Mus musculus: one gene and its partners. The protein of the gene in region 1 purifies or fractionates together with the protein of each later gene. This does not show direct contact. Links are inferred from orthologs where the notes say so. Each region holds a gene or a part of one and is shown in the gene's direction. Other genes may lie near its edges. The genes, in order: Chd4, Nolc1, Sirt6, Snw1, Hnrnpc, Ehmt2 and Ubtf.

Region 1 (3,500 bases):
AGAGACGTTTCTTCTGAATTTGGCCCACAGCGAGAGTATAGATTAGAGAGAGAGTATTGGTTCAAAAATAGGTATCATTGAGGCTCTGAATATATGTGGAATCTGGCACACTTAGAATGGTTTTGTCGGTTTTTTTTTTGTTTTTTTTTGTTTTTTGTTTATAAATGAACACTTTATTATATGTAAGTATACTATAGCTGTCTTCAGACACTCCAGAAGAAGACGGCAGATCTTGTTACAGATGGTTGTGAGCCACCATGTGGTTGCTGGGATTTGAACTCTGGACCTTTGGAAGAACAGTCGGGTACTCTTACCCACTGAGCCATCTCACCAGCCCGGTTTTGTCGGTTTTTAAGAGCAAGGCTGACTAGAGAGGTGAGGGAAGTTGCTTTCTGACTCTGATGAGTTTTTCTTTCTTGATCTTGTAGTGTGGACAAGAAGGGCCACGTTCACTATTTAATCAAGTGGCGAGACCTGCCCTATGACCAGGCGTCCTGGGAGAGCGAGGACGTGGAGATTCAGGACTACGACCTGTTCAAGCAGAGCTACTGGAACCACAGGTCGGTGACTGTGAGCGAGCAAGGAAGAGCAGACGTGCTCTTGCTCTCTCTTGGAAGGACAGGGACCAAGAGGCAGCTGTGGTGTGTTTTCTTTCCTAGGGAGTTAATGAGGGGTGAAGAAGGACGACCCGGCAAGAAGCTTAAGAAGGTGAAGCTACGGAAACTGGAAAGGCCTCCGGAGACCCCAACTGTTGATGTGAGTATGGGTGGAACAGGAAGGGTGTGTTTGTTGTGTGGGAAGTATGCTGCAGTCATGGTGAAGCTCCAAGTCATGGCCTGTGGATAGCTCTAGCTGAGATGGTCAGAAAGCAAACGCTGGGTGTTGTAAATGGTGCTCTGTGTCAGGTCTACCTGAAGCCTAGATATGTAGCCCTGTCTGCTAAAGGATCCTAGGCCGCATCCTGCAGTGAGCAGTGAGGTTCCCATCACTCCCTCTGCCAAGTGTATTGAGGGTCACACAGGTCCACAGCACCTTCTGCTTATTGTCCCCATGCCCCGATGACCTTTCCCCTTCCCTCAGCCGCCCCATTCTTCCCTGGAGCTCGTGCCCACATTCGTGCCTTTTGTTCTGTGACCCACTGGATTTAACTGATGTCTGTCTGTCCGTTAGGGCCTGGTGGATTCTTTGGCTACTCCACTTCACTTTAATTCTTTATTGTTATCACTCCAAAGACAGTATTTCCTTCTGGTTCCAGGACTGGCCTTGAGCTCAATCCTTCTGTCTCAGCCTAAGTACTAGGATTATAGGCGGGTCCTACAATGCCTTATTTCCCTAAGGGCTTTTTTATTTGGTTTGGTTTTGTTTCTCTTAGCTCTTAGGAAAAAAATATCTAGTGAGGACTTGTGTAGGAGGAAGCAGCTACTGTCTGCCGTCCCCGTCTCCGGGAAGGGCTTCTTTACCAGATTGTGACTTCTCTTCATCCTTAGCCCACCGTGAAGTATGAGCGACAGCCGGAGTATCTGGATGCGACGGGTGGAACCCTGCATCCCTACCAAATGGAAGGCTTAAACTGGCTCCGCTTCTCCTGGGCTCAGGGAACCGATACTATCTTGGCTGATGAGATGGGCCTTGGGAAAACTGTGCAGACAGCAGTCTTCCTCTACTCCCTCTATAAGGAGGTAAAAGATGCCAGGAGATGCTAGTGCTTGGTGTGGGTATTCTGTATTCTTTTCTTGTGCTTTAAGGAGTTGGAGGAAGGGAGGAGGAGGAGGTGCTGCTGAGGGGTAGGAAGACACAGGTCTGCAGTGCAAATCCTTTCTTTTCTTTTTCTTTTTTTTCTAATTATTTTTGTCTGTATATTGACCATAAGTATGGTTGTGCACCACCTGTGTGCAGTACCTTGGGAGGCCAGAAGAGGGTGTCACCTCCTTAAACTGGAATTGCAGACTATAAGCCATCGTGTGGGTGCTGGGATCTGAATGTAGGACCTCTGCAAGAGCAGCTAGAGCCGTCTTTCTAGATCCTACAGTGGAAATTTTACAGGATCAGAGCCCTGGTAGACTCAGTGCCTGGCATGTGTTTTGAGGGAATTACAGTTGGTCTTGGAGGAATTTGGTTTTTGTCACGGTGGGCCTAAGAGAGGGATAAATGGCTTTTGTAAATGATGGGAGGCAGGGAGGCAGAGGCGCAGGTGTCAGGCATCAGCTTCACTGTGGGGTGGGGCAGGGGTGGGGGAGATGGAGTCTGGGGTTTAGGGATGGGGCTCTTAGTCCTGACTCTGCCTGCCTTCTTCCTCCCAGGGTCACTCCAAAGGCCCCTTCTTAGTGAGCGCTCCTCTGTCCACCATCATCAACTGGGAGAGAGAGTTTGAGATGTGGGCTCCTGATATGTATGTGGTAACCTATGTGGGTGACAAGGACAGCCGTGCCATCATCCGGGAAAATGAGTTCTCCTTTGAAGACAATGCCATTCGTGGTGGCAAGAAGGCCTCGAGGATGAAGGTATCTTAGTGTGTGGGAGGAGGAGACTGTTGAGCGAGTCACTGCTGTTGGCTGGTTTGCTGCCTCACCTGGTCTCTAAGTGAGGCAGAAAGAGAACTTTGGGAGCAGGGAAAGCCTACCTGTCCCATTGTGTGGATGTGGACCAGTAGTGAGAGACGGGCTTATTGTTATGTGCAGAAAGAAGCATCGGTGAAATTCCATGTTCTGCTGACATCCTATGAGTTGATCACCATTGATATGGCCATCTTGGGTTCTATTGACTGGGCCTGCCTCATTGTGGATGAAGCCCATCGGCTGAAGAACAACCAGTCTAAGGTGAGGTGTGGGAGGAAACGGCCTCCAGTTCTAGTCCTTGGGGAAATTCATCTCTTTGAAAGAACCCTAAGTAGAGAAGAAGGGAAAGTGGTCTTTATTTCCTTCCTCACCACGGCAGCCCTTCTCTGGCCAGGCCTTTAAGAAGGATGCCAGCCATGGGATGAGACACTTAGTTCACTGGACAGTGAAACAGCTTGGCATTCTGTTGCAATACTCTGGTGCCCTCGTTTCTTGATTTTTATTTCTCTTCACCAGTTCTTTCGAGTTTTGAATGGTTACTCACTCCAGCACAAGCTGTTGCTAACTGGAACTCCGTTACAGAACAATCTAGAGGAACTGTTTCATCTGCTCAACTTTCTCACCCCTGAGAGGTTCCAGTAAGTGCGCCTGTCAGTCAGTCAGTCCCTAGCTCTACTCATTCTTGCCCATTTCCTGTGTTACTTTCCTTTCTTCCTTGTTTCCCCTTCTCTAACAACTTTTTTCTTTTTTCTGAAGCAACTTAGAAGGCTTCTTGGAGGAGTTTGCAGACATTGCCAAAGAGGACCAGATTAAAAAACTCCACGACATGCTGGGGCCTCATATGTTGCGGCGGCTCAAAGCTGACGTCTTCAAGAATATGCCATCCAAGACAGAGCTGATTGTGCGCGTGGAGTTGAGTCCTATGCAGAAGTGAGTGTGAAGGGA
Region 2 (4,076 bases), on another chromosome or scaffold:
TTTCTGAGTTCAAGGCCAGCCTGGTCTACAAAGTGAGCTCCAGGACAGCCAGGGCTACAGAGAAATCCTGTCTCGGAAAAACAAAACAAAACAACAACAAAAAAATCATTTGCCACCATACCTATGAGAATAAAAGTTTTCTCAACTGGGGTTAGTGTCTATTAAGTGTCATTAAAGCTCACCAGTTTGGTTTTGATCACCATCTTGGTTTGTGAATTTTTTTTTTTTTTCTTTTTTTCCGAGACAGGGTTTCTCCGTGTAGCCCTGGCTGTCCTGGAAGTCACTTTGTAGACCAGGCTGGCCTCGAACTCAGAAATCCGCCTGCCTCTGCCTCCCGAGTGCTGCGATTAAAGGTGTACGCCACCACCGCCCGGTGGTGTGTGTATTTTAAAAAAAACGATTTTGAGGCCGGGCGTGGTGGCGCAAGCCTTTAATCCCAGCACTCGGGAGGCAGACGGATTTCTAAGTTCGAGGCCAGCCTGGTCTACAAAGTTAGTTCCAGGACAGCCAGGGCTATACGGAGAAACCTTTCTGTCTTGGAAAAAAAAAAAACAAGCCAAAACAAACAAACAAACGATTGTGTATGCATAGAAGCACCTCTGGGAAATAGGATAACGGGTCCTTTTAGAAGGAGCGCCTGTTTTGAGGAAAGTAAAAGAAAGGTATTCACCGGAAGTGCATCTTTATTGCTTCCTGACCTGGACAGTAGCTGATACTGAAGTTTTCCGAATTCACTGTGACTTCTTTCTTTAGGAAGAAAGGATTTTTCTTGATCTTTTCCCTGGGATGGTCCCGTGTTCCTGTTCTCCGAATTGTAGATGGGAAGGATAACTGTCTTGTAACCTAGCTATGACTGACAGACAATGTGGGGTACCAACACCTTGTCACCACAACTTTTAGGATCCTCTGATTTGAGTCTGGGTCTGGGTGGTATCCTGAAGGACTTCACTGGGTGTGAAGGGAGGGAGGAAGCCATTGTCCGTGGGAGTTTGAGCAGTAGGTGACACCTCTAGAAGGGTTGAAAGAGCCTCGAGTTCTCCAGTGCACCCATTATTGTTAGTCCATTCAGTACTGTGAGGTCTCAGTAGCAGCCAGGGCTTGGAAATCTACAGTAGGAAGAAGCCCATTCAGCAAAGGTAATGCGCGGGAATTTGCAAGTTTTCCCGCCTCGGACAGGAGCGTGGCATCTGACGTAGAAGCTCCGCCTCCTTAGTGGGCGGCTCGTGGGCTCCGCCCCCTGCAGGATGATGACGCGTGTGGGACCGGAAGCAACTTCTAGATTTAGTCTGGGTCTCTCCTCCCGGGTGGAGGGTACGCGACCTCGTGTGCGCCACTCTTTTCCGCTGCGCGCCGCGCGCGACTTGATGACGACACTGGACCCGCCCTCGACCCGGGCTGTGCTTTGGTGTTCTTAAGTCGTGCCGCGTGCGCAACGGTAGTGACGCGTTTTACCCGGAGCATGGCGGATACCGGCTTGCGCCGCGTGGTTCCCAGCGACCTTTATCCCCTTGTGCTCAGATTTCTGCGGGATAGCCAACTCTCGGAGGTGGCCAGTAAATTTGCAAAAGCGACCGGCGCTGTGAGTCCTTGGTTTGGTCTGCGGGCCGGGGTGGGACGACTCTCCGAGCTAATCTAGGCCTTGTCGGCTTTAGAAGTTAAGGAGGCGAGGGCTGGGGTCTGTCAGTCCGTTGTCTGCCCAGCTTCTCTGCGGACCTTCCTCAGGCTGGAGGTCTCGGTGTCTCCTTCCACCATGTCTGACTAGCTAGCTCCGAGTATTACGGCTTTTACTTGGTGTGAGTTTTTGCAGCGGTGACAGGCATGGGTCCCTCGTGACCCAGGACATGTGGCGCTAGATCCCTCCGGGAGCATTGGGTTGGCGGTGCGTGGTTCTTCTGTACTTTTTGTTGGACTTACCCTTAATTGCAGTTTTACCTGAGACTCAAAGATTTTAGTAATGAAGGCTTGGATTCTATTTATACACTTGTTTGTTTTTACAAAAGAAGATGAGTGAGTGCAGGGATAAATTGCGAAGTAATGATAGCTAGGACTTCATATTGTATTTACTTATTTTTTTAAAAAGAAAAAAATGAATGAGTGTGGTGATAGGTTGCTTTCAGTATACTCTAGGAGTAGTGAGCGTCCGCCTGTGTTAAGTTGGCACTGAGCTTGGAGCTCCAGGTAGTGATGTTAGGCCAGGCTCTGCGGCTTTCTGCATGTATGATCCCAGCAGCCTTTTGTTTGAGACAAAGTTCATGTAGTCCTTGTGTAGTGGAGGATGGATATGAACTTCTGTACCTCTTGTCACAGCCTCTTCATGCTAAGTGCCTTACTGCCCTGCAGCACACTTTGTATACCATACTGGCCTTGAACTCAGCTCAGTCTCTGTCTACCAAGTGCTGGGATTAAAGGTGTATATCACCATGCTCAGCCCAATTTACAGCTTTTGAGTGAATGAGACTCACTGAGAGAAAAATGCACAAAGTAGTAACTCCATTGTAGGCACACAGGAACATGGGGTGAGTGACAGCTGTTATGTAAGAGCAAAATGTTTACTCTGCACCTTAAGAAAAGCTGTAGCGGGCTGGAGAGACGGCTCAGCAGTTACGACCACTGACTGCTCTTTTAGAGGTCCCGAGTTCAATTCTCAGCAACCAACCACATGGTGGCTCACAACCATCTGTAATGGGATCAGATGCCCATTCTTCTAGTGTGTCTGAAGACAGCAAAGATGAACTCACATAAATAAGGGGGAAAAAAAATGAAAGAAAAGCTGTAGTGTTCGTGGAAACACCTTGAAAGGCTGTAGGCCTTAGATCCTGGGACTCTTGGGTTATAGGCCACCAGATCTTTTGAGATAGGTTACTTCTTTGTAGCAAAATACAAAAAGGTGATTTTTGCCACAAAAGGAAAGATCAGGTCAGTCTCATAATAAGGGAGTTCTTTCAGCCGGGACAGCCTGACATGTGATCTGGTAATACATCCCCCAACCCCCCCCCCCAACTCCATGTGCTCTGAATTGATGGACCATCTAGCCAGTGCTCATTATTACTCTCCTCTTCTTCCCTCCCTCCTATTTTACTTTATTTTTTTGGTTTTTCGAGACAGGGTTTCTCTGTGTAGCCCTGGCTGTCCTGGAACTCAGTAGACCAGTCTGGCCTTGAACTCAGAAATCCGCCTGCCTCTGCCTCTGCCTTCCAAGTGCTGGGATTAAAGGTGTGTGTCACCACTGCTCGGCACCCTCCCTCCCTCCTTAAGGCAGGGTCTCTATGTTCTGGCTGTCCTTGAACTCACTATGTAGACCAAGCTGGCTTAAACTCCGATCTGCTTGCCTCTCCTTTCCATGTGCTAGAGTTAAAGGCGCGTGCCACCGTACCTCGCACCTTTCTGTTTGCTTACAGTTTATTCTGCACATTTGTGTTTTGCCTGCATGTCTGTCTGTGTGAGAGCTGCCATGTGAGTACTGGGAGTTGAACCTGGGTCTTCTGAAGGAGCAGACAGTGCTCTTAACCACTGAGCCACCTATCTAGCCCTGCCTTTCTGCCTTTAAAAGTCATTTAATTAGAAAAAAAAAAGTTAATAGTTAGAAATTATGAGGCCAGAGATGTCAGAAGCTCTGTATGTGGAGTTAACAGGTACTGTTGCGTCTCCTGTTCTGGGTGCTGGTAATGAACTCAGGTCCTCTGGGAGAGTAACATGCTCTCTCAGCGACTTAGCCATCTCTCCAGCCCTCAGCTAACGCTCTGTTATCAATTGGTACAACATTTCTAAGACTTTAAAAGATATGGAAAGGCACAGGGATATACCATAAAGTTTTCACGCTCAAAGTTAGGTGATATGTAAGCGTAATATTTTCCTCCTGAGTTATACAAGTAGGAAAAGTCTTAAGATGTAACATCCATTTTGAGTTAAGTAGGGAGATAGCATAACTTTTGAGACAAGGTCTCTTTACATAACCCTGGCTGTCTGGAACTCTGTATGTAGTCCAGGTGGGCCTTGAACTCACTGATCTGCCAGCCTCTTTCTTTGAAGTGCTGGGACCATGCCTGGCTGACAGATTACATTTGATCAAGGAGTAA
Region 3 (4,260 bases), on another chromosome or scaffold:
CTACCCATCCATCCATCCATTCACTGATCCCACCTCCTCTACTAATCAGGTTCACTTTCACCCCACACCTACCACCAAGGGTGGGTGACAAAACACCCAAAAGAGTTGTCCACATGCTACCAGTCTGAAGGAAATCGCCACGGCAAGGTGGCAGGGAAGGCCTGTGGATTTAAGGGTTTGCCTTCTGAAGAGGTGACACAGCACAGGTGACGCTGCGCACTGGGCCTGGGCCTTGGCTCCCGCGTGGGATGTGTGCACCTGTCACAAGTGTGCAGATGCGTGTGTTCATACTGTTGCAGGTAGCACCCCTCACCAGCACCCAGACTTCCCTGGCCTCCCTCACCCACATCCCCCTACCTCAGGCGACTCCAGACCGGAACCCAGCGTCCAAGCAGCCTCTCTGGTTACCCGCTCCAGCTGCGAGCCACCAGCAGCAGAGTAGAGGTGACACCCGATCAGGTTGGGGTGGGGGAGCGGGGGACGGATGAGCCAAGGGAGGAGACAAGCTGCTGTTAGCCAGCTTGCTCAGATGGGCAGCCCCAAGGACGGCCTCTCCCACCTCCTTGTGTGCTCCTGCCTCCTCGAAGCCTTTCTTGGGGTCTCCACGGGGATCAGGAGGCTTCGGTTGTTATATGCTGCCATTGACCCATCACATGGCTCCTGTGTCTGTTGATTACCAACAGGCAGAATGGTCAGATAGTGCCTCCCATCTCTAGATGGCCACGGAAGCAGGGCTCTTCACCTCTCTCCTTGCATCTCTGGGCACCTCTGGGTAACACGTGGAACTCGCCCAGTTCTGTGGACCTAACCCTATGCTCTGTGATATTCCGGGAGGTGCACTCCAGAAACTAACCCAGGAAATGTTGGCAGGGGGCCCAGAGGTCTTTCCTCTGCCCAAGAACCCCAGTTTTCCATTCATTCTCTCCTGTAGCCAGAGTCAGGCAGACCCTGGATGACAGTCACAAAGGTTAGGGTATCATGTAGCCTAGCGTGGCTTCGAACTTTCTGTCCCCTCCTGCCAGTGCTATAAGCACTCCGGGCAGGGCTCTACACACTGAGAACTGTGGATTTTTGTTTTGCTTTGTTTGGTTTCATTTCTGGGTTTTGCTGATGTTGTCTCTTTTGAAACAGGGAGTTGGTCTGGGACTCGCAATCCCCCTGCCTCGACTCCTGTGAGTGGCCTCATCACTTTTCTGGCTCTGGTCGCGGATCCCAGGACTGGGGAATCCACTAAGTCAGAGAGGTAGTCTCGGCCAGCACTGAAGACTAAGCTTGCTGCATCAGGAGGGCGCATGCGCTCTGGAAAGAATGCTGTTTTTCACCTCCACGTACCCACCCCACCCTCAGGCACGTATCTAGGGAAGGCGGCTACTCTTTCCCGACCGTCCCTTCACCACTTCCGGCGGAAGCGGCCTCAACAAGGGAAACTTTATTGTTCCCGTGCGGCAGCGCCGGCGACGATGTCGGTGAATTATGCAGCAGGGTTGTCGCCTTACGCGGATAAGGGCAAGTGCGGGCTGCCCGAGGTGAGAGCTGCAGTGTTCGAGTCACCGAATGACCCCAGACGGGGAGCGGCCGGGCGAAGCGGGGCATTGTGGGAACAGCATGAAACATAGAGTCTAGACAATGGGAGGGACTTCCCTGGAAGGAGGGGGCGGGAAGTGACACCCACTGCTCAGGCTGGGTGACACGGAGGAACCTGGGTCAGGGAAGGAGTGAGGGGCTAATGGGAACGAGACCAAATCGTCAGGTCAGGGAGTGGACGTCTTAATTGTCAGGGAAAACCTGGAGCTGTGGGAAGATCTGCAGGGCCGGAAGCTGGCACCCTTTCCTGGGGGCATCCCTGTACCCCACTCTGTACTCCTCCCTGAATCTGGGCCAGATGGATCCTGAGTGTGGGGCTGTCAGTCTTTGTTGTTTCTGAAGGGGTGTAGTAGGGTGGAGGGTTCTCTCTTTGTAGCCCAGGCTGGCCCCGAACTCACAGGAATCTTCCTGCCTCTGCCTCCCGAGTACTGGTGTTAAAGGCCTGCGACACCATGCCCTGCCTGCCTCATGTTAACGGAGCCCCTAGACAAGTAGAGCTGCATCTTGATTTAGGGGAGAGAGGTGGGTTATCTAAAGTCCAGGATGGGGGATGACGTCAGTGGGGAGGTCACGTGGGCCACAACCAGACCAGGACAAAGGAGTGGCTGCCTGCAGGAACAGCACTCTGGGAAGAGGGCTCGGCATGTGCAAAGGCCCTGGGGTAGGACACAGCGATGTGTTAAGAGTGTGGCTGGAACTGAGGGATGTTGAGAAGGGGCAGACAGAGCATTGACCCACAGGAGGCCTGCCACTTGGGAGGTCACGTGTTGCCTCCTCCTGCCCTCTGACCCTACAGATCTTCGACCCACCAGAGGAGCTGGAACGCAAGGTGTGGGAGCTGGCCCGGCTAATGTGGCAGTCCTCCAGCGTGGTTTTCCACACGGGCGCCGGCATCAGCACCGCCTCTGGCATCCCCGACTTCAGGTCGGTGAACAATGAGGGGAAACTGAGGCAGGGCTCTTGCTGATACACCTCTAGGGACTAAGGTGAGGTGGCAGAAGGACCTTTCAGTTTTCCTATGTCTCTGAAAGGCCCAGCAAAAACTCCACTTGCCCAAGGATCAGAGCATGCCCACATAATGTAGTAGCTGCAAGGCATGCTGGGAAATGTATTCATGCAGCTCGGCCAGCCACTGGGTTTTCTAGGGTCAGAATGACTCAATGTTGTGGAGTGACTAGCTCACCCATAACCTTCGGTGGCAGCCTATGACCACTGTAAAGCATTCTGGGAACCCGCAGCCGGTCTTAACCAGTACTCAGCCCCAGCTCCACTAGCTCCCCTGCCTTTGTTTACCCCCAGACCCTCAGCCCCTCCGCCTCTTTCATGAAGACGTCCCATGCTCTTTAGAATTCTTGCCTACCCGGCAGTCATTGTCTCCACCACAGGATACAGAACCACCCTAAGAACGGGGCTGGGGCCAGCATGGGCTGACTTCAGCATTAACAGGAAGAGCCCACAGCCTGGAAAATGAATGTTTGACCTCTGTGCCTGTCCTCCTCTGCTTGCTATCCTCAGAGGCCCCCATGGCGTGTGGACCATGGAGGAACGCGGCCTGGCCCCCAAGTTTGACACCACCTTCGAGAATGCTCGGCCCTCGAAGACCCACATGGCCCTGGTTCAGCTAGAACGCATGGGCTTCCTCAGCTTCCTGGTCAGCCAGAACGTAGACGGGCTGCACGTGCGCTCGGGCTTCCCCAGGTCCGATGAGTCGGCCGGGGGGCTGGGGCTCAATTGCATCTCTTCCTCCTTATTGGACCAGGGTGCCCTAGCTCAGGGGCATTTATTAGGGATGCAAAGAGGGGGAAGGCTCGGAGCCCAAAGCCGGGCAGTACTTGGTCAAATTGGGGGGATGTAGGCAGGGTTCCACCCCTCACTGGGGTGGGGTGGGGAGGTTGGCAGGGGCTTTAGGGCCAACTGACTGTTGCGGCAGAGGGCGAGTACATGACAGAATTTCTCCATGTCTTGGCTACCCTGGGACTTGCCCTGTAGATCAGGCTCACAGAGATCCACTTGCCTCTGCCTCCCAATGGAGGGATTAAAGGGGTGTGCCGCGGCTAGCCAACAGGTTTTTTGTAGTGGGGAGGAGGTATTTGTGAGTTTGTGAAGACACCGTCAGACAGCTATGCATGCAACAGTTCCTCAGAATGGGACAGGCTGGGACATCCTCCAGGAAAGAGAAGTGGACGCCCCTTGTGAGTGAGCCCCCTAGGAAGGCTTTCTGGAGGAGGAGGCAGACTGAGCAGCTGGTCCAAGCCCCAGGATCTGGGAAGGGTCCTTACTGGCATCTTCTTCTGCAGGGACAAGCTGGCAGAGCTGCACGGAAACATGTTTGTAGAGGAATGTCCCAAGTGTAAGACGTGAGTGTTGCCCGTGTAACACAAGACCCTGCTCCTCCCCTAAGCCAGCTCAGGGTCCTAGCATGGCCTAGAGAAGGCCAGAGACAGTCAGATGAAAACAGACCAACAAAGGCTCGTAGACAAATGGGGCAAACCCTTTCTTCACAGCCCCCCAAGGGAGAAGCTGGTCATGCCCTTGGCAATGAGGGGTTCTCCCTGCCCTGCCTTTGCTATGGCTCTGGGCTGGGTGTCAACATGGCTTGCACACCAGAGCCTCGGGGTGTTGAGCAGGACTGTGCCTCCTGAGCTTTGGCCCCTGACTCCCTCTTAGGGGTTCTTT
Region 4 (4,106 bases), on another chromosome or scaffold:
GGTTTTGGGCTATGCCTTTCTGATTTCCCACATTCATTATTTTAACATTGCCCTCAGTAGCCTCTTTAGTCTCTCATTACCATAGAAAACCAGTGTGTGGCAAGAAGAGTCCTTTTGTTTGTTTGGCGTGGTGATTTACTTATGCTTAGTGCAAGGTGTGGTACTCTCAGGAGGTATGGCATTGTTGGAGGAGGTTTGCCACTGTGGATGTAGGACTTTGAAGAGATCTATATCTACTCAAGCTCTGCCCAGAGTGAGACAAGCAGTCTCTCCTTACTGCCTTCAAATTGGCTTGCTGAACTCTCAGCTCCTTCTCCAGCACTATGTCTGCCTGGATGCTGCTATAATGATAATGAACTGAACCCCTGAAAATTTAAGCCAGCTACAAGTGATATTTTCCTTTATAAAAGTTGCCTCAGTCATGGCATCTTTTCACAGTAATGGGTACACTAAGACAGTTTGGTTTTAGTCTTTTGAGACAGGGTTTCTTTGTGTAGTCTTGGCCATCCTAGAACTAGCTCTGTAGACCAGACTGGCTTTGAACTCACAGTGATCTACCTCTGGGATTAAAGGCATGTGCCTCAACTGCTGGACTAAGAACTGTCTTTCTTGAGCTGCATTCAGTGGCAAAGACCTTTGATCCTAACACTTAGGAGGCAGTGTCAAGCTGATGTCAGATCATGACCAGCTTGGTCTATAGGAAAAGTTCCAAGGCAGCCAGGACTACACAGAAAAACCCTATCTCAGAAAGAAATAATTGTCTTTCTTACCTGTCTCAGTCCTACTTCAGCTCCAAATTATCAGCTGAACTAAATCTACGCTCATTGATCTTAATTTCTAGCATCTTCTTTATTTGCCACACCCCACACTGTTTTTTAAATAATTCATTCGTGAAGCAAAATTTAAAGTAGATGACTGTTAACACAACGATTAACTATATGCACGGAGGGTGGCTTATAGTGGGGGATCAGCCAGACTTTGCATCCTATTCAAAACTCTTAAGCAGTACTATGTGTAGCGGCCTTAAAGCAGAGTTGGATAATAGTATTAGCGTCCCAAAATAAGGCTTTATATCATATTTTGTATTATCACTACTGACATGTTAAACAGAGACCCTGTAGCCTGTAAAATCTACAGAAGTAAGGAATTTCGTATGCTAAGGTAGTTGTTGCTAACGCACTTTCAACAGACTGGCTGTCACAAGTCTCTCTCAAAGAACTACAAGGCCCAGAGGGCCGTTCGGTCAGAGCGCCTGCGCAGTGAGCATTTTTCCATTGTGTTCCTCGTTCCCGGGCAAGACTCGCCCGGCGACGTTGTGGCCTGCGCAGGAAGAAGCGGAAGAAGATGGCGCTCACCAGGTGGGTTGTTGATTTGGGTCCTCGATACGGAAGGGTCTGGAGTACACATCTTTTCCTTTCTGCCCGTACTGTTCGGGCTGTGACCTGGCCTGAGGCGCAGAAGTAACTTAGTCAAAACCGTGGCTGGAACCTCTCTCGGGCTTCCTCCGCGACTAGGCCGCGCCGAAGCCGGGGTCTTTCCTTCGGGGCTTCCCGGGTTGAGTTCGCCCCCCCCTGTTCCGAGAGCCCTGACATGGCCTCGCCGCGAGGACCTCACATGTGCTTCGCGTAAGCGGCGCGGTAGATTGACGAGCGCCTTGTGGACTGCGGGCTGAGATGGTTGCACTGCGAAGCCGCGGCTTATTTAACCCCGCTAAGCAAAGCTCGCCCGTCTCGTGGGAGGCTTTCCAGCCGCTTGTATGTTTTGTGCTTCTCATTTTCTCCTGCTACTCTCTCTCTCCCGAAACAAAGATTTTTGCAAAAAAAAAAAAAAAAACAAAACAAAAAAACAAAGAGTTGGGAACGTCCGAGAACCGACCAAGTTTTTTTTTAATTGACAGCAGTAGGGGCTGCTGTTGACTAAATGCGCGCCGCTCCACCTTTTAACTTTGGATCTTAGAATTTCTTTTGTACATAGAACCACCTCCGGCTTTTGCTGTTCCTGGTTGCCCTGGTTACTGTATGTAAAGTGTTTCCAACCTTTAAGGAAAAGAAAATGCTAAGTGGGAGACTTCCAAAAAGTTATGTAACTCCCAACTGCTGTAAGTGGAAAAACTTTCCATGCAAACTCAGCTGGAAAAGTCTGATTTTAAAGAAGGTATTCACTTTAGGGCCTTGGATTGTACCTGTTAAACCCACTTCTCATATTTTTTCCTGGCTCATAACAATATGAATCCTAAGAATATTTTGGTTATATGAATTAAGGTTTGTTGTCCTGCTTTGCCCTAGAGGTAGTATATGTAGAATGAAAAAAAAATTTTTTTTAAACCGGGAAGATGGACAAGTGGGTACACGGATGAAAATAGTGCAGGCGGGAGGATCTCAGAGTTCCAAGGCCAATCAGGTCTGTATAGGTAGTTTAAGGCCAGGATTTAAAAACAAAAACAGAATAACACTGACCTGGTTAGCTTTAACTGTCTGCTTAACACCTGGTCAAAAGATATCAGGTGAAAAAATTGCCTAGAACAGATTGGCTTATGGACATGTCTGGAAAGGATTGTTTTTCTTGCTAAGAGATGCAGGAAGATCCAAACCACTAATGGCTGCTCCATTCCCTAGGCGGGATATCCTGAACAGTATAAGCTAGATGAGTATAAGCCACTCTGCCAACCAGCAAGCAGCTTACATGGTGCCTAGCCTGCCTGCCTGCTTGCCTCCCTCCTTCCTTCTCTGCAAGAAAGCAAGTCCCTCTTGCTCTTGATTGTCTGTGGGATTTCACTAGCTGCCTTGACATCTCTCGTGGGTTTTAACCTGGAATTAAAAGCCAAATGTACTGGCTGGGTTTGTGTGTCAATTTGACACAAGCTCAATTTATCACACAGATAGGAGCCTCACTTAAGGAAATGCCTCCACGAGATCCAGCTGTAAGGCACTTACTCAATTAGTGATCAAAGGCGGGAGGGCCCAGCCAATTGTGGGTTGTGTCATCCCTGGGCTGGTAGTTCTGGGTTTTATAAGAAAGCGAACTGAGCAAGCCAGGGGAAGCAATCCAGAAAGCAGCAGCCTCCATGGGTACTGCATGAGCTCCTACCTCCAAGTTCCTGCCCTGTGCGAGTCCCTTTCCTTACTTTCTTTGGTGATAAACAGCATTGTGTAAGTGTAAGCTCAATAAACCCTTTCCTCCCCCTACTTGCTTCTTGGTCATGATGTTTTGTGCAAGAATACATACAGTGACTAAGACATCAGATAAGCCCTTCCTCCTGTAAATTGTGTTTTGCCGCAGTTTTTTAACAACAGCCACAGAAATGAAACTGGAACCAACAGATGATGTACTGGTACATCAACAGATGTGTGGTCCTAGCCTCGGTACAGAAAAATAAGAGTGAGTTGTGCTGACTGAGTGTTTTAGATAGCAAATATTCGAGTCTTCTTCAGGCACTATGATACAGATTAGTAGGACCATGAGAGGGAAAGTAGAATTTGAAATGGATGCACACAAGAAGAACGCCAGAGGTATAATATGTCTTGAGTGCCTATCAGCAATGCTAAAAGGTGAAGTCTCAAAATGGTCGGGCTTGAGGACTACAAAGCTTTCATTTCTGTGTTTTTAAATGTTGTTTATAAAACTAGCAAATACGGACTGGGGAGGAATAGGTCAGTGGTTCAAAGCAGTGGCTGTTCTTGCAGAGGACCTGGTATGTTTCCCAGCACCCACATGGCAGCTCAGGTTGCTCTGTCTGGTAAATGAATAGTTAATCATAATGCAGAAAGTTGGATGGTATACACATGGTCTAGACAGCTTTAATCCCAAAACTGGGGAAGCAGCTGGATCTACACAGTGAGAGTCTGTCTGCTGACAATGAAAACAGAAAAACCAATAGGAAAGCACAGTAGCATAATGTGGAATTCCTCTATAATCTCATTACTCTAGAGGCTGAGGCTAGACAGGGACAAGTTCAAGACCAGCCTGGACTACCTAAATAGGCCTTGTTAAAAATTAGGAAGGCCACCAAACCCGGACACTATTGCATATGCCAGAAAGAGTTTGCTGAAGGGACCCTGTTATAGCTGTCTCATATGAGGCTATGCCAGTGCCTGGCAAATACAGAA
Region 5 (3,500 bases), on another chromosome or scaffold:
TCTCCAGCCCAACACTGTTCTTAATCTCTTAAAACACCTCCTATATCCTGTGATAGAGAGCAAGGTGACACCTGGCATTGGTCTCAGTTTACCCAAAAAAATACAAACCAGGGAAGAGGGGGAAAGAATGTTGTTTAAGGATTGTAGTCTGAGTTCTGTACTTAATAGCTTGGTTAATTTTATAAATGTTTATGTTGAACTAAATTTTAGCTAGGGCATACTCTTGGTTGTCAGTTTTCTATATTGATCGACATAATTGAAGTATGTCAGCAAACTATGAAAGCTGAGAAAGTAAATAGAGCAATTGCAGTATCTTAGTTGAAATTCTCAGCTTAAGTTTTTTGTTTTGTTTCTTTTTAAAACAGAAGTAAAGCTGGGCTAATCTCAGTGCCCCTAAGGAGAAATGGGGGTGTAGACAGGAGACTGAAAGCCTTCCCTGTATCGGAACACTTTCATGAACATGGGCACATACACAATGATAAGACAACTTAGAAGTTGCTATAAAATAGAATGATATTTTTTTGGTCAGGAAAATACATGTTTAGGTTAAAGTGATACTATGTAAGGCATTTATAGCTTTTTTTTAAAAATTATTTTTAAATCATTTGCTGACTAAAGATTACTAGTTACTATTGCAGTTGGTGCCTCTGTATTTCTTTCAGCTTTTTGAATTGTTAACTAGAAAAACATTTCTTCCTGTGGTTCTGAGACCTAAGGCACAGCACCTAGAAAGAACACTTTCAGTAACTGGTAAATGGTGCTTTATTCTAGTCTAACATTGTAGTTCTGTTACAGTGAAAGGTGATGACCTTCAGGCCATTAAAAAGGAGCTGACTCAGATAAAACAAAAAGTGGATTCTCTTCTGGAAAGCCTGGAAAAAATTGAAAAAGAACAAAGCAAGCAAGCAGGTAATAGTCTTTTAATTTTCTAATTGAATTTGGGTTATCTTCCTAAGGTGGTTTAATGTATATGCAAATTGGGCTGTTTGGAAGGGGCATTAATTTATTTGGAAAACTTTACTTTTGTTCTTTGATGATTAATGGGAATTGTCTATATCCTGTGGGCAACACTTGCCCCTGGACAGACTTGTCCTTCTCATCCCCAGTAGAGATGAAGAATGAAAAGTCTGAAGAAGAGCAGAGCAGCGCCTCTGTGAAGAAAGATGAGACTAATGTGAAGATGGAGTCTGAGGCAGGTGCAGATGACTCTGCTGAGGAGGGTGACCTGCTGGATGATGACGATAATGAAGATCGGGGGGATGACCAGGTGATTACCTTTGGAAAAAAGAAAGTTGGGAGGACTGGGGTCCAGGGATGAGAAGAGTACCTCTAACTCTCCCTTATTTGTGTCTTTCTCACAGCTGGAGTTGAAGGATGATGAAAAAGAGCCTGAGGAAGGAGAAGACGACAGAGACAGCGCCAATGGGGAGGATGACTCTTAAGCACATAGTGGAGCTTAGAAATCTTATCCCATTATTCATTTACCTAGGCGTTTGTGGGAGATGAAAGTAACACCAGGTCATCTCCCCTGGGGTCTTCTGCACATTCTCACTGTTGTCCCGCCTTACCCTCCCTGTGTTCATTAATTCATGATTGCCCTGCGCCTAGTTACAGTTCCACTTCCTTTGATGCTCCGTAGTACTTTCGTTAAGTCTCACCCTGTAAGTTTTGCTTTAATTTTGATACCTCTTTGACTTAACAATAAAAAGTTGTATGGTTTTTATCAACTGTCTCCAAAATAATCTCTTGTTATGCAGGGAGTACAGTTCTTCCCATTCATGACTTCAGTAGTTGCTTCCCTAACTGCAGAGGCATCTCATTTACTTGTAACCCCAAGAGCAGCTTTGCATTAGAGGTGTGTGTTTTCCCTCACGTGAGTGGGACTGTTACAACACGAATGTAACCATGTATTTTTGTGAATGGGAGTTGGCATGTCAAATGCATCTTACAGGAAAATAGTGTAATAGTCTTAATATTTGTTTTCTAAAGTTATACCATGGGTTATTTTTGTGAACAGCCTGATGTTTGGGATCTTTTTCTCAAAAATAAACAGTTCCTTATTAAACCAGGAATTTGAAGGAAAGACAATTTTTTTTTTTCCGAGACAGGATTTTTCTATATAGGCCTGGCTGTCCTGGAACCCACTTTGTAGACCAGGCTGGCCTGGAACTCAGAGATCTGCCTGCCTCTGCCTCCTGAGTGCTGGGATTAAAGCCGTGCGCCACCACACCCTGCTGGAAAGAAAGTTTTTCAATTACATTTTTTTTTTAATAGCAGCCTCCACAAATCGTTAGGTTGTATTAAATATAATCTTCATGCATACCAATATATATGAATAAAAGTCATTTTGAGAGCATTGTTAACTTTAAATATTTTTGACACGGAGTGCTTGAATGTTCAGTTACTGATTAAAACCCAGGTTTCTTTATTGCATTCTCAACCTGTGCCTCAAAAGTTTCAAAATAGGAAAGCATTTGTCTTTCCCGTTTTATATAGCATTTGCCTTCCTAAGAACTGAGTCTATAACGAGAGTTATAATTACCCATGTGAAGTACTCTTACCCCTTTTCTTGATTTGTTTGAGTCAGCTTGGAACATTTTGCTGTGTAAGACCTAACATAAGGTAAAGGTATAAACAGATTTGGGGGCTTGTTTGTTTATTTTTGTATAGCAGGCTATTCAAATCTTTTATGCACACAGACTTTCTACTTCTCAAAAAGACCCTGTTGTGTATATCTAGCATACAGCTGCAAGTCTATGCTTTCATGCTATGCATTGTAGGCAAAAGTAACCCATGATAAAACTGAGGAGAGGCTGATCTAGGGGCTTCCCTTGGCTCCAGTGTGCAAATATAAAAATGGCTTTTATTGTGACCCCCCTCTGCCCCTTCCCCTAATCTTGATATTGTCTTGGGTTTTTGAGGAATTGGCTAGATATCAGAGGTTAAAGATGCTAATAAATAAAACCTGTTTAAATATGCTGTTAGAAGCTGGTGTGTACAAAATGCTGGGGTGGGTTCAATTAGTTCAGTATTGGGTACTTTCTGATATTGGGTATTGTATTTATTCAGGTGACTCCCCCGCCCCCTCCCCCCAAAAAAAGCAGTTGGGAAATTTGAGAATAAAGACTGTGGTTCTGTCCCTTTTCATAGTTGGTATATACATCAGCAAAAGACTCAGGAGCCTGTGTCTTCATAGGAACACTAAGTGCCAGCATGTGACTAAAAAAGGGTGTCATCCCTGGCCCTCCCTCAAACTGCTGTTGCTAGTTTATTTTGGAAACTATTTAGAACTATTTAGATATTGTTAGAGAACTATTTAGGATATTTTACTGGTGGTATTAAACTAAGTTAATACTAAAACTTGTCAAGTTAAAATGTTCACAGGTTTATTCCACTATGAGAATATCTTAAGTCTTTCAAAGTTGTGAGATTTTGTTCATTTCTAGTTTTTTAAAAAAGATTGGGGTGGAAGATGGCATCAGATCTGATGTGGCTGCTGG
Region 6 (2,802 bases), on another chromosome or scaffold:
GTCCCCCCTTTACCTGCACGCTGCCTAGATGGAGCATGCCTGTGGCAGACAGATCTGTAAAGTGGAGAATAGCTTTTTCCTGTGCACTTCCTCCCCTCTGCCGTCAGACTCACCTAGGTTCTCTGTGGCCTTTAGAGCAGAGAAGCCCCTTCACCTGCTCCGAGGACCTCCCAGTTTCTCTGTTCCCTCAACTTCTCAGACACCCACTTCTCTTGGGCAATTCCTCTTCCAGCCACATGGGGCGACCTCATGACTGATGTAGCTGCGCAGAGCCTACCACCTGTTTGATAGTTCCTGGTGCACACACCTCCTAATGTCTAAGCCTGGCAACTTTCCACCCAGCCAGCCACCAGGGATGCTAATCCCCAGAACACAGGCTCACACACACACACACACACACACACACACACACACACGTCATCTCCCACCATGCCTGCTCAGGTCTTGCAGGCTCCACCTGTACAGAGCCTCCCACCTGCCTGTCTACAGCTGCACAGCGACCCCTAGTGGCTGGACCATGTCCTGCATCTCTCCCCTGGGCTCTGAGAACTGAGTGGGAAGGTGGGGCCGGGAGCCCTGCTCACTGTTCATGCAGAACTGAAGTTTCCGTCCAACAGGTATGTAGGAGAGCTGATCTCTGATGCCGAGGCTGATGTGAGAGAGGATGATTCTTACCTCTTCGATTTAGATAACAAGGTGGGATGCAGCACCTCTGCCCTCAACTACCAAAGGCTGCTTTGTGCAGCCACCTGTAACATCTGGGACTGGAAGCCTGGGTGGAGGGACTGGGTGTCACTGCAGGAACACTAGCCAGGCAAGTGGATAGAAGTGGATATTAAGAACACTGTGTCTCCACCCCCAGGATGGCGAGGTTTACTGCATTGATGCCCGTTACTATGGCAACATCAGCCGATTCATTAACCACCTGTGTGACCCCAACATCATCCCTGTCCGGGTTTTCATGCTGCACCAAGATCTACGGTTCCCACGCATTGCCTTCTTCAGCTCCAGGGACATCCGGACTGGGGAGGAGCTGGGGTGAGGAGCCAGCCTGAGGGCACTGACCAGCCTTTGGTGTTCTTTTTTTTTTTTTTTTTTTTTTCCCGGTTTTTCGGGACAGGGTTTCTCTGTGTAGTCCTGGCTGTCCTGGAACTCACTCTGTAGACCAGGCTGGCCTCGAACTCAGAAATCTGCCTGCCTCTGCCTCCCAAGTGCTGGGATTAAAGGTGTGTGCTACCATACCCGGCTTCCTTTGGTGTTCTTAGGTGTCCCTTGGAAGGCTTGTTAAAACTGTGTAAGGCAGGAGTAGGAACATACATTCATGATCACAGCACTCAGGAGGCTGAGGCAGGAGGATCACAAAGAGTCTGGGCTACAGAGTGAGACCCTGTGTCAAAACAAAACAAGAGAAGTCCAGGTTGCCCTGGTATCACATGCCTGTCATGCTAGTGTTTGAAAGAGCTTGAAGCAGAAGTACCTACAAATTCAAGGCCAGCCTGGGCTAACTACAGAGTTCAGGACAGCCAGGCCTATGTAGAGAGACCCTATCTTAAGCAAAAAACAAGAAGGGGGATGGGGGCTAGTGTGGGTTGGCTGGATGGTTGAGTATACTAGGCCCTGGGCAGGCTGCATCCCACTTCCCGCAGAGCCTCGGGAGAGTCTGGTCACAAGGCAGGAAGGCTAGAAGCCTGCATTTATGACAGTTCTCTGGGAGTGTGAGTCAACAGAGCCAACAAGGACCTGGAGTCCATCTGCAGGAGTGGTTGGGTGGAAGAAGGTGGATCCCTCAAGAGGGCTCCTGGGCTCTATGAGATGGGTTTGAAGTGTCTAGATCCAAGGGCCAAGAGCTCCTGTGTTTCCTCTGCCAGCTTTGACTACGGTGACCGATTCTGGGACATCAAGAGCAAGTATTTCACCTGCCAGTGTGGCTCTGAGAAGTGCAAGCATTCAGCGGAGGCCATCGCCCTGGAGCAGAGCCGCCTGGCCCGGCTGGACCCCCACCCGGAGCTGCTCCCTGACCTCAGCTCCCTGCCCCCCATCAACACCTGAGGACTCTTAAAATCCAGGCCGGGCACTGCCCTTCAGACATTTCTCCATCAGAGACCCCAGTAAGGCCTGGAAGGTCGATGGCCCCTCTCCCAGAGCTGGTTTCTCACTGGGAGTGCAAGTGACTTCAGGGCTGGCCTTCCCCACTGAGCCTGGCCTCAGTTAGCTGATTGAAGTTGGGCCTCTGCCAGCTGATTTTCTGTGTTCTCAATAAATGTTGGGTTTGGTAATAAACTGTCTGGTGATTGTTTCAGGACGATGAGGACTATGGGGCTGAGGGGACAGTTGGGTAGGAAGCAAGCTGTGGCTGTGGGGTGGAAGAGAACAGCTGTGGGGCACCCACTGGCCACAGGGGTTTAAGGAAAAGCAAATCACAACCTAGAGGTTTGGGTGTGCCACAGTTGAAGTACTCTAAACAATTATGCAGTGTTTCCTTATCAAAGTGCTCCGGTTTCTTCCTGCTGCGGTCCGTAGCAGACCCGGTAAGCAGCTCCTGGGACCCAGTTCTGAGCCCTGGTACCCCTGGGCTGGTCAAGAGTTGAGATCTGAAAAAGGAACTGTAGAGGACCACAGGCAGGGGCGGGGCTGTGACGTCTGGGAGGGAGGGCGGGGCGGGCGGCAGGTGAGCGGCTAGGTCTCCGTGGCTCCAATCACTCCGGAGACTGAGCCATGGGGAGAAAGCAGAATGAGAACGAGGCTCACGGTAAGGCTAGGGGCAGAGGCCCGGGCTCTGGAGAGAGGTGGCCGGGCTCTGCA
Region 7 (3,500 bases), on another chromosome or scaffold:
GTTTCTTAGCTTGAAGTATCACACCTTAGTGGAGATTTTCACTAGAGGCAGGTGGAAAACAGGGAAGGGGATTGTGGTTTATGGCTCCAAGCCTTAGGAATTATAGATGCCCCGACCCTAGCCACCTCTGTCAGCAGTGTTATGTTTATGACATGGAGGGTAGTAGGAAACTGGGCATCTGCCAATGTTTGTGAGACATCAGGGGAGAGAGGATTATGGGCCATGTGACCCTTTTCTGCGGAAACCGGCCCAGGTTACCAGATGCAAATGAAAGTCAGGAGCTCTTTTGCATCCTGGCCAAGGGTTCCCCCAGCCCAGCCTCCATAGCAGAGAGGCTCAGAGCTGTCTCTGGGCTGCACTTTAGCAGCTGAAAATAATTGGGCTAAGATGTCAACTTGGAGTTCTGGGGTTCTCCAGAGACCAAGGCCCTGAGAACTCTGTCCACCTGCTTGCCTTTTCTCAGAACTACTGTGTATGGTGCTAATGTTTGAATTCCACTTTTCTCAGTTGCCAGAAATGCTGCTTTGGTCTCCCTTAAAGTGACTAGAGTGGTGGAGTACCTGCCTTTAGTTGTTGATCTCCAGCTGTGCTGGACAGACATCTTCACTGGGAGCCTTAGGACTCACACCTCAACCTCAGGCCTTGCATGTTTGACACTCACATAGAGCCTGACCACATTTAGATACGTTCTTTCCCTGATCCCTCCCTTTCTGATGAGCCCTTTGTCCATAGGCCCTAAATCACTAGACTTCCCACTCCATCTCATACTGTAAATAGGGGCCCATGGCAGCCTAGCATGTTAAAAGTGATTGCTTTGAGGTAAGCAAGACAGGATTCCCAGTGTAACTTAAGTATGGTGGTTATTTTATCTGGTCCAGAGTCCCTTCCCTGATTTAATAGGACCACGGTTATTTTTCTTTTTTAGGACTGAGCCATGTACTGGTTCAGATGAGAAGCAACCAGGGGCTTTGGGGAGGAGGGGGTGAACTCAGAGGCTGGGGAACAGATCAAGAGAAGGGCATGAGCCAGGTGTGGTGACTTCTCTTACATGTCACAGACCGCTGGTCCCAGGAAGATATGCTGACTCTGCTGGAATGCATGAAGAACAACCTCCCATCCAACGACAGCTCCAAGTTCAAAACCACAGAGTCGCACATGGATTGGGAAAAAGTTGCGTTTAAGGATTTTTCAGGAGATATGTGCAAGCTCAAATGGGTGGAGATTTCTAACGAGGTAAGTGCTTCCCACTTTTTGACTCCTGTAAATAAATACATATTGTATATGCTATTTTTTTTTCCTTCAGAAACAGGGTTTCTCTGTGTAGCCCTGGCTGTCCTGGAACTCACTCTGTAGACCAGGCTGGCCTTGACCTCAAATCCGCCTGCCCCTGCCTCCTGAGTGCTGGGATTAAAGGCGTGCGCCACCACGCCCGGCTGTGTATATGCTTTTCATCTCAGAGAAAACGGGGAAAGCAAACCAGTCACTTTGGACAGAAGGCCTTCACGTGTTCTTCTGTCAGCTCTAATGTATGCCTTAGGGGAGGAAGTGGCCTGGGCGATAGCAACCGCCTAGTGCTCACAGTTCTACCACAATCTTCTAGGTGACTTTGGATACTCTAGGGGCTGAATGAGATGCAGGCATGGAAGCTACGTTGAAATCAGTCTGTGACTGCTCTTAGGTTGTCCCCAACTACTTGGGCCTCTGTAGCAGATATGAGCGAGTGCCTCTGGGTCAGAAGTTGCCTATAATCTATGTTGTCGCTTTATTTTCTTCATTGAACTCAGTGTGGTGGAGGGCAGTGCTAACACTGTAAAGGGATGCTGGACTATGCAGTGATGTTTCCCAAATTCCTTTCTTCCTGTTTGCTCCCCCAGGTAAGGAAGTTCCGTACATTGACAGAATTGATCCTTGATGCTCAGGAACATGTTAAAAACCCTTACAAAGGCAAAAAGCTCAAGGTGAGTTACCAGGAGGAGAAGCTCGCGTCAGGGAAGAGGGGTTTAAAGGATAGGTGGCATCTAACCCCGCTTTCCTGTGTTCCAGAAACACCCGGATTTTCCAAAGAAACCTCTCACCCCTTACTTCCGCTTCTTCATGGAGAAGCGGGCCAAGTACGCGAAGCTCCACCCGGAGATGAGCAACCTGGACCTGACTAAGATCCTGTCTAAGAAATACAAGGAACTTCCAGAGAAGAAGAAGGTGGGGGGAGGGGGGGCTCAGGTGTGGGGAGGGTAGTTATACTTGCAGGAGGGGGCAGCTGGTGTGGGAAGGTCAGCGGGGTGGGGATAGGCCTTAGAGAGACAAAAGGGACTCCATATTGGGCGTGTGGAGGGGTCAACACAACAGTGTAGTTGTTTTGGAGGTCACCGGGGTACCTATCCCCCTCCTGGCCCACACATGGTCAGACAGGACCCATTGCAGGGGAGGACCCTGAAGGCGTTCAGACTGCTCCTGTACCCCACAGCCAAACAGCCACACTCCCTGTGAATCTGTGCAGCCATTCTCCTACCCACCATGATACTTGAGTAGACAAGAGACCCAGGAAAGGGGAGAGACTGGTTGTCCTGAGCAAGGACTGGGGCATAGGAGTGCTGAGTAGCTTGAGGCTTCCAGCTAAATGATGCTGGAACACACTTGAGTTTGGAACCTCTTCTGCCCTCCAGTGCTCTTCCCCCTGCCGCGTCACATAAGTGACCTTGTTTTCCCGTGTACAAGGGTACACGGTCTCTCCTTGCCTCAGGCTGCTTCCTCCTACAGAAACAGACCCCTGTCCAGATTCTCAGGGGTGTAGGCCTTTAGGTAAACGTTGTCCGAACCTCCTGGGCAGAGATGGATAAAGCCCAAGACAAGCTCAGGGGGGTTCCCTGGAAGACAGGGAAGCAAAATACTGAAGGGAGTTCAACACGTTAAAGATGGGAGAGAGCCAAACGTGAGGAGGAGATGCTGGGTGATGAGGCCAAGGGTGTCAGTGCCGGGCAGTAGGGTCTGAAGGATGCACACTGGTGGGCAAAGAACACAGAGTCAAACGAATTAATCTGGCTGAGCTCATATGCTCTTACTGTTAAATCCAAAATGGGATAGGCTTGGTTGGGTAAAACCAGCTGTCTGTGGCCCATACCCAAGCCCAAGTAGCATTAACTGGCAGGGCTGCCATTGACCCCATGGGTGAGGACTTGGGACTGTGACTACACACACCACCAGACCCCTGAGGGGTGGGAGAGAGAGGCTAAGAAGCAGAAGCAGGGAGGGACAGAGAAACTTGAGTGGAGAAAGCTTAGGCACGGGCACACTAATGTGGGCCTGTCATATTGTTGCCGGTCGGCTGTGTCTGGTCCTTCAGGTAAGTCACTTCAGTACTCCTGATTGAGGCGTGGAGGGTGAACCCTGAGATGCCTTTTAAGTTCCCGTCTGAGGAGGACTGAGGGTGCCCTAGGGAGGCCGTGCTGTTTCTGGTTTCTGTTGGGAAGCATGGTGGAAATGAGCTGCCTCCTTGCTTGCTC

What was found.
Region 2: the proteins of Chd4 (region 1) and Nolc1 purify together in Homo sapiens (affinity purification with mass spectrometry, with the first as the bait; 3 studies listed by BioGRID). This does not show direct contact. The link is inferred for Mus musculus from reciprocal best matches to the Homo sapiens genes CHD4 and NOLC1.
Region 3: the proteins of Chd4 (region 1) and Sirt6 purify together in Homo sapiens (affinity purification with mass spectrometry; 3 studies listed by BioGRID, with this or other methods). This does not show direct contact. The link is inferred for Mus musculus from reciprocal best matches to the Homo sapiens genes CHD4 and SIRT6.
Region 4: the proteins of Chd4 (region 1) and Snw1 purify together in Homo sapiens (affinity purification with mass spectrometry; 3 studies listed by BioGRID and IntAct, with this or other methods). This does not show direct contact. The link is inferred for Mus musculus from reciprocal best matches to the Homo sapiens genes CHD4 and SNW1.
Region 5: the proteins of Chd4 (region 1) and Hnrnpc purify together in Homo sapiens (affinity purification with western blotting; 3 studies listed by BioGRID, with this or other methods). This does not show direct contact. The link is inferred for Mus musculus from reciprocal best matches to the Homo sapiens genes CHD4 and HNRNPC.
Region 6: the proteins of Chd4 (region 1) and Ehmt2 purify together in Homo sapiens (affinity purification with western blotting; 3 studies listed by BioGRID and IntAct, with this or other methods). This does not show direct contact. The link is inferred for Mus musculus from reciprocal best matches to the Homo sapiens genes CHD4 and EHMT2.
Region 7: the proteins of Chd4 (region 1) and Ubtf purify together in Homo sapiens (affinity purification with mass spectrometry, with the first as the bait; 3 studies listed by BioGRID). This does not show direct contact. The link is inferred for Mus musculus from reciprocal best matches to the Homo sapiens genes CHD4 and UBTF.

Annotation. Positions count from the first base shown.
Region 1 is NC_000072.6:125,105,981-125,109,480, forward strand, and holds part of Chd4 (chromodomain-helicase-DNA-binding protein 4), read left to right. Parts: intron 1-428; coding exon 429-560; intron 561-659; coding exon 660-756; intron 757-1,487; coding exon 1,488-1,679; intron 1,680-2,300; coding exon 2,301-2,501; intron 2,502-2,678; coding exon 2,679-2,816; intron 2,817-3,071; coding exon 3,072-3,193; intron 3,194-3,311; coding exon 3,312-3,485; intron 3,486-3,500. UniProt on the Homo sapiens protein: ATP-dependent chromatin-remodeling factor that binds and distorts nucleosomal DNA. Acts as a component of the histone deacetylase NuRD complex which participates in the remodeling of chromatin.
Region 2 is NC_000085.6:46,074,571-46,078,646, forward strand, and holds the start of Nolc1 (nucleolar and coiled-body phosphoprotein 1), read left to right. Parts: upstream 1-1,276; 5' UTR 1,277-1,459; coding exon 1,460-1,579; intron 1,580-4,076. UniProt on the Homo sapiens protein: Nucleolar protein that acts as a regulator of RNA polymerase I by connecting RNA polymerase I with enzymes responsible for ribosomal processing and modification.
Region 3 is NC_000076.6:81,624,738-81,628,997, reverse strand, and holds the start of Sirt6 (NAD-dependent protein deacetylase sirtuin-6), read left to right. Parts: upstream 1-1,460; coding exon 1,461-1,526; intron 1,527-1,675; exon of another isoform or gene 1,676-2,106; intron 2,107-2,380; coding exon 2,381-2,508; exon of another isoform or gene 2,509-2,570; intron 2,571-3,099; coding exon 3,100-3,282; intron 3,283-3,881; coding exon 3,882-3,941; intron 3,942-4,260. UniProt on the Homo sapiens protein: NAD-dependent protein deacetylase, deacylase and mono-ADP-ribosyltransferase that plays an essential role in DNA damage repair, telomere maintenance, metabolic homeostasis, inflammation, tumorigenesis and aging.
Region 4 is NC_000078.6:87,469,500-87,473,605, reverse strand, and holds the start of Snw1 (SNW domain-containing protein 1), read left to right. Parts: upstream 1-1,306; 5' UTR 1,307-1,344; coding exon 1,345-1,358; intron 1,359-4,106. UniProt on the Homo sapiens protein: Involved in pre-mRNA splicing as component of the spliceosome. As a component of the minor spliceosome, involved in the splicing of U12-type introns in pre-mRNAs.
Region 5 is NC_000080.6:52,073,022-52,076,521, reverse strand, and holds the end of Hnrnpc (heterogeneous nuclear ribonucleoproteins C1/C2), read left to right. Parts: intron 1-795; coding exon 796-909; intron 910-1,085; coding exon 1,086-1,267; intron 1,268-1,361; coding exon 1,362-1,442; 3' UTR 1,443-3,145; downstream 3,146-3,500. UniProt on the Homo sapiens protein: Binds pre-mRNA and nucleates the assembly of 40S hnRNP particles. Interacts with poly-U tracts in the 3'-UTR or 5'-UTR of mRNA and modulates the stability and the level of translation of bound mRNA molecules. Single HNRNPC tetramers bind 230-240 nucleotides.
Region 6 is NC_000083.6:34,911,772-34,914,573, forward strand, and holds the end of Ehmt2 (histone-lysine N-methyltransferase EHMT2), read left to right. Parts: intron 1-617; coding exon 618-696; intron 697-862; coding exon 863-1,038; intron 1,039-1,868; coding exon 1,869-2,049; 3' UTR 2,050-2,302; downstream 2,303-2,802. Other genes in the region: Slc44a4 (choline transporter-like protein 4), read left to right, coding at 2,468-2,528. UniProt on the Homo sapiens protein: Histone methyltransferase that specifically mono- and dimethylates 'Lys-9' of histone H3 (H3K9me1 and H3K9me2, respectively) in euchromatin.
Region 7 is NC_000077.6:102,312,597-102,316,096, reverse strand, and holds part of Ubtf (nucleolar transcription factor 1), read left to right. Parts: intron 1-1,057; coding exon 1,058-1,233; intron 1,234-1,874; coding exon 1,875-1,958; intron 1,959-2,043; coding exon 2,044-2,199; coding exon of another isoform or gene 2,200-2,235; exon of another isoform or gene 2,236-2,488; intron 2,489-3,500. UniProt on the Homo sapiens protein: Recognizes the ribosomal RNA gene promoter and activates transcription mediated by RNA polymerase I (Pol I) through cooperative interactions with the transcription factor SL1/TIF-IB complex.